Drosophila melanogaster: one gene and its partners. Changing the gene in region 2 together with the main gene of any one other region gives a genetic interaction. Each region holds a gene or a part of one and is shown on either strand. Other genes may lie near its edges.

Evidence for each region.
Region 1: of spn-B (region 2) and mei-W68, changing one suppresses a phenotype caused by changing the other (phenotypic suppression), as found in Drosophila melanogaster (3 studies listed by BioGRID).
Region 3: of spn-B (region 2) and mei-41, changing one suppresses a phenotype caused by changing the other (phenotypic suppression), as found in Drosophila melanogaster (2 studies listed by BioGRID).

What each region holds. Positions count from the first base shown.
Region 1 is NT_033778.4:19,454,153-19,457,905, reverse strand, and holds the start of mei-W68 (meiotic W68), read right to left. Parts: upstream 1,737-3,753; 5' UTR 931-1,736; intron 1-930. Other genes in the region: CG7744 (uncharacterized protein), read right to left, coding at 2,736-3,653, 3,705-3,753. UniProt on the Drosophila melanogaster protein: Required for meiotic recombination. Together with mei-P22, mediates DNA cleavage that forms the double-strand breaks (DSB) that initiate meiotic recombination.
Region 2 is NT_033777.3:14,325,898-14,329,650, reverse strand, and holds spn-B (spindle B), read right to left. Parts: upstream 1,601-3,753; 5' UTR 1,441-1,600; coding exon 1,386-1,440; intron 1,326-1,385; coding exon 1,164-1,325; intron 1,103-1,163; coding exon 759-1,102; intron 706-758; coding exon 241-705; 3' UTR 43-240; downstream 1-42. Other genes in the region: ATPsynE (ATP synthase, subunit E), read right to left, coding at 2,115-2,360; Afti (aftiphilin), read left to right, coding at 3,370-3,514, 3,573-3,753.
Region 3 is NC_004354.4:16,390,095-16,393,847, forward strand, and holds the start of mei-41 (meiotic 41), read left to right. Parts: upstream 1-1,603; 5' UTR 1,604-1,666; coding exon 1,667-1,893; intron 1,894-1,952; coding exon 1,953-3,753. Other genes in the region: TH1, read right to left, coding at 1-298, 369-1,081, 1,198-1,260. UniProt on the Drosophila melanogaster protein: Serine/threonine protein kinase which activates checkpoint signaling upon genotoxic stresses such as ionizing radiation (IR), ultraviolet light (UV), or DNA replication stalling, thereby acting as a DNA damage sensor.

The DNA of each region.
Region 1 (3,753 bases), on a different chromosome or scaffold from region 2:
AATAACAGATTTAAACTTAATTAAGCGGCATATATTTTAACAAGAACTTGGTTACTAACGCTTAAATTTTAAACAATTACATTTTTGAATTCCTCCAACTTTATGTATCCTTGCTCCCAATTTCCATTAGTTCTAAATTCGCATGAATTCTTCTGTTTATGTTCAATGATTTGAAACATTCTCTAGAATACAAAGTGTAAGCACTTTTTTGGTCTAATTTAATTGCATGGGTGGTGCCACGCCCCCGGGATTTTCTTGTTGGTTCTTTGAATGCCTTTGTCACAAGCGGAAACCCCGCAGGAAAATGAGTGAAAACTGTGGGCTAAAACGTTGAAACACGCCCACCGACCTACGCACAGTAATATTTCATAAATACGTAAGCAATTCGTGGACTTACATACTATACGAAAATCAAGTGGTCTTTGCACTTACTTATATCTGATTTTGTAAAAGTTTATCGCGTAAATCGTTGCGTGGAAACATTTCGAGGGGGGTTATAAATAATTTCCGAAAGGAGCTTGCTGGCTAAAAATATACCATCGAAATGAAAATTCCCTTTCGGTGAAAACAACTGTTTTTTAAAAATTTAAGCACGCACACTAGTTGCAAATGAAGAGAGCGCGAGGGAGAGTGCCATAAGTTTATGTGAATTTCTTTATTCGGTCTTTCATTTTTTCTTCTTATTTTATTATTCTTTTTTCCTTCTTTTTCGTATGTGCAGAAAAGTGTACTCGTTATTACAAAGCACACATACACCGAGTGTGGGCGGGCGGGGGGTTTTCGCTCTCTTTTGGGGAAGAGAAAGAGAGAGACTGACGGAAAAGAGAGAGCGCCAACGAATGGGCTAGGAAAACTGACGAACGGAACGAAACGGAATGGCAGCCCAAGTATTGATTTGCTGGTTATGGTGCTGCCACTTCTTGTACTTACCAATGAAATACAATTTCCGATTGGCCCAAGAAAAGCTAAAGCTGAAAAGCTATTAGCTCTCTCGCTCAGAGAGGAGTCGCTAGCTGATGGTCGCTGCTGTTGTTGTTGTTGTTGCCATCGATGTAACGCATATTATTATTTAATTTCTTTCGATTTTCCCAGTTCCTTTTCCGATTCCGTTTACCCGAAAGTGGTTAGGTTTGGAAAGGCTCTGCTTTTTACCGACTTTTACCGAACGAAAACGACGACACACACAACGAAATGCAAATGCAATACATAGCTTTCTCACTCGCTCACTAGCTACCTCTCGACCGCTCTCACTCGCACAGCAGCAGTAGCAGCAGCTCTTTGGTTTTCAATCAGATTTTTCTTTCTTATATTTTCTTATCGCGATGGTTTTTTCTTTCGCTTTTTTTTTAAGAAGAACGGTCACCGATTTTTCACAAGGATTACGAACGCACCCCCACTGCTCTCCCCAGTCACTGAAAAGCCACAATAATAACAACAACAACGACAGTCTTGTTGGCAACAAATGGAAATATTCGCTATATGCTCTGCGCTGCTCTGCCCTTCGCAAAACTAATGTGTATCCGCGATGGGTAATGGGTAACTTGATATTGATACGATTACTAATATTATTGATAGCCGATTAGCCGACATAAGCGGTGGCCGCAATTGGCAAACGACGATTGTCCCGCTCCCGCAACGCAGTTAAATATTACTATTTTCCTCCGTCCACATCCACTTTGGCAGCAACAAAAGTATGTACGTCTCGGTCTCTCAAAAAAATTCACATTACGATACGGCAGCCATATTGTAGCAGTGTTGCCAGCTGGACGGTATTCAAAAATACTAAACTTTTTCTCCTGTTACTACTTATATACTAAATATACAGCAAGCTGTCATCTAAAAACCGCGCCCACAGACTGATTGATTAATGTGTAATTTGAAATAACCAGCTAAATTTTACATTCGAGAATGGTTAGAGGCTACACAACCTTATATACATAATTGTTTATTAAGATAATTTAAATTCATAATATATTTGTTCAATATTAACAACAACATAAACAACATACTTTCAGGGGCAAATGTATGAATTTTTGAAGTGCCGTGCCGACTTTGGAAACGGCCACTTTGATTTCTACACCGCGCCGTTAACCAACTGGCAGCACTGCACTAAGAGAGCGTGTTCTGAAATCTAAGAGAACAATATAACATTTTTTAAAAGAGAAAAACAACCAAAAAGACAGGTCACTGTTATTATTGAATTTAACTTGATAATGAATATTTTCTTATAACTGCACTTAACTTAACAAAATAATAACCATTTTTTTGTTTTGCTTTTATTTCAAAAAATATGTATTTGTATAATAAACAATTTATCTAGTTTATGTGAGTCACAAAAGTTTAGTTAACGATAAAAACAAACTTTGAATGATTGTCTTCAATGAATAAATAACTTAGTTACCAAAGCTTTATTCTCCCTTTAAAATCAAGTAGTATTTATATTACCTTCTAATCTTACTCCCTGACTTTCAATTCCCTGAAAAGTTCTATATTGAAAACCACGAAACTTAGAGCTACACAGATTAAAGAATGTCTAGCTAAACACTACTTATTTAGTCGATTATAAGTAAAGGGAGGACTAACCTTTAGTAGAATAAAGAAGCTTAAAAACTGTAAGTCAAAAATAAATTATTTGATAATTAAGTTAAGTCAAATTTATATAATTTCCCAACTGGCGGTGATCTTTTCCAGAATTTTTTCTAAGTTTTTCTAGATATTTATGACCTCACATCACATTAGTGTATTGGCTGTGAGGATTTTGAGTTAATCTCAATCCACTTCCTAAGTAAATCCCCCGGCTGCATAGTTGGCTGTTGCTGCGGAAGAGCAGTCCTCGAGTATTGATATTCACTAGGCGTTATTGTGGGTGTAGGTGACGGCATTGGCGGAAAAACTGCGAAATTTCGCTGACTCTCACGGGCTTCGGACCAGCCGTAGTCCCTTACAGTTGCAGCACCTGTTCCGCATTGGGCTTCTGGACGTGGCTGCGACTCAAATCCAGAAGATTGTGACGAAGTGCGGGAAAGTTGATTCTGCTGTTTCTCTTCGTAATGTCTCATTAGATTGGCAGTGCATAGATCTTGGTTCACACTTTGATTGGCCGCCACCCAGGCGCTTACATCAGCTCCGCCGACGTTCCTGTTTATGGACGGCAAACGCGATGGCATCAAAAGATTTTGCGTGGATCTAGTGAAAGTATTGCCTTGGGCCAGGTTACTTTGTCCATGGCGATACCATTGGGACTCTAATGGTCTCATGGGTTTCTGTTGAAACATCATCGCCGGCTGGACACGCGGGGCAACCACTGTAGAGGCATCTCCATAGTTCGAGGACCAAGCCTGCTGTTCCATCCGTTGCTTCGACAGATGCAACGAGTCCAGGGACAGCAAAGAAGCAGGCGCCTGAATTGTTCGCTGGGAAATCGTTGGGGCGGGTGAGTGGCACACAGAGGCGGTTCGCATGGACAAATTGCTATTGCTGATATCACTGTATCCACTTAACTGCTGACTGAGCATGCTCAGCGTTTCATCATCGCATTCGTCCGCACAGAGGCGATGGAAGCTCTCACAGGCAGACTCGTCCCGATTCACTTGGCTCAACAGATTGGTCCGGTTGGTGGCCAACAAAACAAGGGTTACAAAACTTCCCACCAGCTGTTTAAAGAATTTGTTAAATAAGATTCAAATATAAGTAAATGCACTTACTATAAAGGATATTCCACTGATGTAAGGATCCAGGAATTCGATACCCATG
Region 2 (3,753 bases):
AACCTTTTGTTCCTGAAAAGAAATAAGAAAAGCATGTTTTCTAAATTTGTTTTTATATATTTTAATGATACCTAAACCTGATTGGCAACTAAGTAAATTTAAATTATTAAACCCTAAAATATTCCGCTGAATTTAACAGGAGTATAAGACAATCGTATGGCTAATTGAACGCTCCGCCGTTACACATTTTAAATTCAACAAATTAAACGATAACAAAATAAACAGAATAAATTCAATCAATCACAGTCGACGCATTTTGGCGGGTGGGCTGGGAACAGATGGCTCTGGAACATTGACCACACCTTCTGCGGTGATAAGAAACTCGGCGAAATCATTGGGAGTCTCTGGTGAGTAAAGTATTTCCAGTTTGCGCACCGTTATCAGTTGATCACCCATGCGATGCTGCTTGGGCACCCGGGAAACACGCAGTCTAGTGCGTCCTAGGTGCGCCCACTGCAATCCCAAGCAGGGAATCTCATCCTGACCGTCCCTGGTGGCCACCTGATTCACACAGACCACGGCACAGTTGTACTTATCCGCGTAGCTGAGCAGAGCGTCTGCCAGTCGACGCATATGTCTCGCTCGTTCCAGATAATCATTATACAGCCGGAATATGGCGGCCACAGAATCAATAATGATCAGGCCAATGCCATGTTGTTGCATCAGTCGCGGAATGCGGTTTATAACGCACGCCAGGAGAGGTTCCTTTGGATTAATATTAAATAAGCATATGGCTACAAATTGGTTTGTCGACTCACTGCCTCAATGTGATTTTCCACAAAGATGTTTCCCAGAAAATTCAGCTCCATTTCGGGATGCCTCTTCTCGCAGGCTTTGCTCATCTGCAGCAATCTTCTCGCCGGAAAGGAACTCTCCGTGCATATGTAGGCCACGCCTTTGCCCAAGCCACCCAACTCACGGGGTAGCTGGACACAAAGGGATAGCTGAAGAAGCAACTGGGTCTTGCCCACGCCGGCTGCTCCACATAGCTCTGTAATTCCACGAGTGACCACTCCCCCGCCCGTGCAGCGATCTAAAGCGGAACATCCAAACGACACCCGCGACCATCTAACATTGACAAGCGGCTTGAAGAGGGAATCCGCTGTAATAAATAGTGGCAAACTAAACACAAGAGGCTACTTATACATTAGTCTGAGAATCACCTGACTGGGGCATCTCTGCCAGCCACTTGGCTGCCGCATCCTTGAGCACCCTAACATCATCCGGAGTGCATTTTCGCACGATTGTGTGCAGCGATTGCTGGCGGGTGTCCAGGAATCGCACCTTGGGAGTTGTCAGCACCTCCTCCGGTGCGAGAACATTAACTGGAGTACAGGAATTTAGTTGGCTCTTGAATAAAGTTGTTGGAACCCCAAAACTCTTACCCTGCTCGGCGATTTCTCTGATATGCTTGGGCAATTGATCCAGAAAGTTTGTCATCGCGATGCGATGGCATGTCCTCGATGGGATTGCGTGATATAATGGCTCCCCGAAACACGAAAGGTGTCTCAACACCTCCGGAATTGGAAGTATTCCGGGGGATTATTGATCAAACAGCCGAGCCATGCGACGACTTGCGAGCGAATTGAAAGTGTAAATAAACGCCGGTTGAAATCAGCTGTTGGCGCCAATATCTTAAGTGGGCCAATCAGCTGGCAACTACAGTGGGCATCCAATAAGGTAAACTATCAGTTGTTGTTTATCAAAAAAGATTTAAAACAAAATTTAGGAAAATTATTGATAATCAATTTGCAAAAATATTTATATGTACTTCCTAGTCAAATTTGGAGCTCAAACCCTCTCAAATTCTCTCAATCCTCTCCTATCCAAACACTATGCTAATATAAATATATTTCCAGTGAACACCACTTAATCACAAACACGAAACACTTGAGAGTATTTACATAATGGTTTTGTTTCAATCATTTAATTTCGAACATTCTGTTTTTTGCACAAGCATCAGAGGAAAACACAAAAACGATAGTCAGTGATCGATAGATGGTGGCTCCACTATCGATGATGCTCCTCCTTTTGGGCGAACTTCGTGTGTAAATGTTGTGGTTTTTCAATGTTTTTAAGCTAAGGGAACTGCGGATGTTGCATCCTGAAGGATCCTAGTGCTTGGGAGTGGGCTTCGAAAGCTCAGCCAAGGCACGGGCCTCAGCCTCTGCGCTGCGCTTCTTCTCCTCGGCGAGCTTGGCATCACGGACGGCCTTCTGCTGTGCCTCGATCTCGCGCAACTTCTCCTCCTTCTTGGACAGGCGGCTCTGGTGGGCGGCGCCGTAGGCAATGCCCACCAGGAGCAGGGACCATCTGCCGAACTTGATCAGCGGGGAAACGCGAACGGGAGCCTGCGACATGGTTTCTTCTTCAAGTTATGTAATTGTCCGACCGTGAACTGCAAGAAAAGGATGTACTTTAGTTATCCGACTTCCTTAATAGCGTTCCCCGTCTCGCTCCACTTTACAGATTCCTGGTTTTCCTAGTTTTATGCAATATTTGATGTTAAATAAGCAAAATTACCAAATTGGTGGAGCGATTGCAACGGCAGCGCAGTATAACCTTAAAACAGCTGTCAAAACTGACAGGCGGCTATCGATAGTTGTATTGGTACGGTGGCGGCGTTGCCAGCAAGCTTAAAAAAGTATGCAGAAATTGTGGAAAATATCATAACAATTTAAAAGAAGCCTTTATGACGACTATTTGTTGTTTAGTGTCCCAACAAAATTTGACGTATTACATACTGCAGCCTAGACTTTCATGTATATTTTACTCTTGTTACTAATAATTTTCAAATACAATTTTAACGGTAAAAGAATTGGAAAGAATAAAAATCTATTATAGAAATATAACTAATATAACTATTCTATCTGAACTATGGATAATGATTTAAATCGAAAATGGGAATTGAAAAAGATAAGATTCAAATTTTGTATGTTATCAATGTTGCGCAACGTTTTTCAGCACTGTCGGTTGGCCAAAAGTTAAACGTTCACACTGTGGGCAGAGGAAAAAGTATTGTTTTCTGGAAAACATGGCTAATTGCAGATAAAACGCGACTTGCAAATTCGGCAAATCTGTTTTTAGAGCCACCAATAAGGCGACAATTAGACATAATACAGAGACACAACAAAATTGACGCGTGTTAAATGCAAACAAGAAAATTCCAACACAGACCTTGAGTGGCTAACACACACACACACACTTGCAGGCCCTCCACACCTGCGTCACACATACACACCACACACACAGTGATAAAGTGGAGCGAGAGAGATAGAAGATCGAACCGTTCCCAGCGTTTTTGTTGTTCTTCTTGAAGCAGGAAGTGAATTTTAGGGGATCCTTTTACTGAATTTTGCAGCTGGCATTATGGTGAATGTACCACCGCTGCTCTGCAGCACCCCCCCGCCCATCGATTTTGGTGAGGAAGACGACGATTCCGGTTTACAATCCACCATCCATTTGGACGAGGGTGACGAATACTCAGATTTTGGCTTAGTCAGCAGCTCGAAAGGCAAGCTTAGATATTTATCGAATCTCAAAGTGATACTCAGTTAATTCTCGCTTTTTAGAACCCCCTCCACCACCAGATCCCGTGGAGGAATTTCGAGAAAAGCCACCTGATTTGCTGGAAGACAAACAAACCGTCGAGGCATTTAATTACCAGGTGAAACAGAAGATGGATTACGATGTTTTCGAGGAAACAGCACCGCCGACGCCGCCTCCGTTGAGCTTGGAACTGGATGATGAGGA
Region 3 (3,753 bases), on a different chromosome or scaffold from region 2:
GGCCGGCTGGTCGATGACCGCGGACGCGTAGGCTAGCAGAAACATATACTTCGGTTTGTGCTCGGGATTGATTTTAACGCCGGAACGAAAGAGCGCGTCTACCAGTAGCTCCAGAAACTGGGGGTTTCGTATCAAGTCGATGGGCGGTGGATCGGAACCGGAGTAGTTGCGAAACAGCACGGTGATATCGGCGGGATTCAGTGTATTGCGGGTGAGCATGGAAGTTAGGGCTTGACATGCTTGCGGATAGACTGCCGAACCATTCAGGGCCATTGTAATAGGCGTTACATTTTGATTGCTAAACAATGAAGCAAAAGAAAGGATTTATGTTATGACTAACTATGTGGAATCGTCAGTTATTTTCATACTTCTGCAGGGCGTATTTAATAATTTCCTGAGAGAGCCGCTTCATGTTGAACCCACCCTTCTGCTCCTGGCTGAGGACCTGGATGAGCACCTGGGAGTATACGTAAGTGTGCTGGCCATGGCAGACCATTCGTGCGCACTCCTGAATGGCACCGTGCACATCATCCGGATTGTTTAGAAATTTGACGATCGAGGTCTTTAGAACCCGCGAGAAAACCTCAATCTGCTGTGCCGCTGTCGAAATGGAAGTGATCTCGCTCTGGAAGCCCGCGTCCGAGATCAACTTGATTGTAAAGTTCAGCATTAGACAATCGGGATATTCTTCGGCCAGTCGGTAGATTAGCGAGCGCCACGTATAGTGGTCGATCATCTCGGTTAGCCAGTCGGGCGTCTCACCCTCCTCCGTGAATATGGTGTCCGCCTTCTTGGGATCGAAGGACTTAAGAATCATTTCCTTGAGATGATTCTCCACCATGGCCTGGACTTCGGTAACCTTGACGCCCGCCAGGATGAGCCATTCCGCAAGCAGGTTGGCCATCTGGGCCACCGCCTTGTAGTTCTCGGATAGCATCGATATAACCTCCTCCGGAGATCCGCCCGACTGAAAGTAGCGCTTCAGCTGCGTAAATATCCCCGGCTCCATGATGTAGTCCGGTGTGAGGAACTTCTCCAGGCATTCCTGTATCGTCTTCTGCGGATTGTCCTCAAGCGTTTCCTTCGATTGGGATGGGATAACATGATGTTTAGTTGTTATTTTTTATGGTTTATCTAGTAGCGTCATCAAATTGCCGGGATTGCCTGCCACGCCGTACACGCTCTATACTCAATTACCTCCGGATTGGTTTGTCCTTTGGCGCGGCCCTGCCAACCAGAGTCGTCGTATTCCACTTCCATTTTTTCTCAAAAACTTATTTACAATAACATAAAAATATTTTTCTTATTTTGATTAACTATGCATTTTTAGTGTGACTGTAAATTGTTAACCACGACGCGCACACCTACGCGGGTTATGCGCCGTTTACACTTAGCAAACTCTTCTGTTAATTTCATATTATGCAATGTAAATCTTAAATTTGAGGAGAAAAAGAAAATTGTCAATAAGTGTAAAACGCGGTAATGTAAACATATATTAACTAATTTTTTTTTAAATTAATATATGTAAAATCGCAGTTGGAACGTGGCTGTTATTCAAGAAAAAGAAGAAGAAGCTGCCAAACATATCGATAGCCACAAGTGCGGCGAATGCCGGCTTTCGTAAACAAAGGTCGCGTTTTTGCGAGTTTTAAATAAACTTGGCAAAATGTCGACACAACGGAAGGATATGTGGAAGTTGCTTTACAACCACGTAAACCGGAACGTAAGCAACTTTTCCGGCGTGTACAGCGTTATAGAAGACATATTGTGCCAGGAGCCGAGTCTGATAAGCTGTTCGTTGGTGCGGGAGCTGCACAACAAATTCCAGGACACATTCCTACTCTGGCTGCTCAACAAGCTGGCCAAGTGCCTTAGTGAATCTCCAGATAGCAGGTAAGATGAGCCACAAGCATTGGACTCCAAACTTATGACACACCGTTTTTCTGCTGCAGCGAGTGCATCAATCTTCAAAGGAAAATACTGAGCTCCTGCTGTTCCAATCATCCTAAGCTTTTTGAACGCCTTGTACTGGCCTATGTGGAAGCCATTGAGGAGACGCACCTTCAGCTAAGTTCCCTGGACCTCGGCCAATTGAGTAATGAGCGAAAACCCGCCATAACTGTAAGAATATTCCGATGCGATGTGGAATGCCTGCAGGAGTTCGATCCGCACTGCGCTATCGAGGACATCAAGGTGCCCCTTGAGCAAGCCGACATGTATGCCAAGAGCCTGCTGGAGGTCCTCCAGCATGCCCATCACATTGGATACGCCACGCACGGCGACATCTTCTCGGGCAGCCTTCATCAGGCTCTGCTAATCCTCAAGGAGTGCGACATGGACACAAAACTGGCCAGCTTGAATTACTGTCACAATGTCCTACGATCACAGTCGGCCAGCAGCTGGATAACAAATCCGGACGTTGGACATTATGCGCAATTAACGTTGGAGGCGACGGCAATCATGTGGTCGGCAGTAGCCAAGTGGCTGGACATGGGATGTATGACGCGCCAGGAGCTAAAACGGCTCAATATAACAACAAAGCTACTGCTAGAAGTTCTGCATATGCGTGCACGTCCAGCCCACCATCTTGGCTACCTGCTTTTGAACGAGATCCTTAGTTTGCCGACAGCCATTGAATTGGACGATGGACTGCTGGAGACCCTAAGTTCCTATATTCAAGGCCAGCTAGAGCATTCGGTTGTACCATTGGAGCAACTGGTGCACTTGCAGCAGCTTATGTTAAGCCATTGGCACTGCCACCCCACACATTTGGTGCCCATATTGGCGCTAATGGGCTTGAAACAGACTGAGATGCGCTCAGGAGTGGTCCAAGTGCTTACCCAAAGTCTCGTTGAAATCTTGAAGAAGGAAGAAGTATTGTCGAAGGATTGGCAGAAACTGATTGCTATTTTACGAGGCTTCAAGCAGCTGGAGAAACTAATTCTGTCACAGAGTCAGCATAAAATAGCTGAGCACGAAGGTCACATCGATTCCTCAGTTCTGGCCATGTTACCGCTGCAGTGTGAAATCATAAAGGTTGCGGATACCAATTGGAATAACCTTTCAATGCAGCTGGTTGAGCTGGAATCAAAGTGTTCCGCAGACCGAAGACACATACACTTGGAAATCTGCTCCCTTTTGATGCAAATCACCTTCATCCGGCACTTTTTAAAGACTCAAACGCAACACCAGCTGCTGGCCATTCTTCAGCGACATTTGAAGCTGTCCTACCTTTGCGCCATTCGCTTGGAGACACCTTCTAGTGTTCATACCCAAATGCAAAGCTTCTATGCCCAGCAGTACATGAGGCTATTTCAATCCGAGGAGACACAGGAGATATTCTGTAGCAACCTTCCGCAGTTGTACATATCGGGTTTCATAAAGCCGGAGCAACTGATGAAAGCTCTGCCCACCATTAACAATCGTAGTGGCCGCGCTCAAGTTATACGCCTATTGCTCTGCTCCCAGCCAGGTAAATTGAGTGTCTTTAAAGTCAAAGATCGCATTGAGCTATACTGCCCGAAATGCAGGCCACTGCCAAAGAAACTGCCAGGTATTTACCTCGGAAAATGCAAGCAACAGCTGCCATGTCCAGACTTTTCAAGCACCAACCTCGAAATGATAGCAAATGATTTATTGTTTTATCCCGATTTTGAATGTATTGCCCAGCATCTGGACCTTCTGTGCTTTGAACCCAATGTGATTCTTGGCCTGCTAAGAGAAACGGAGGCACTGCAAAAGGTTAGCGTTAAG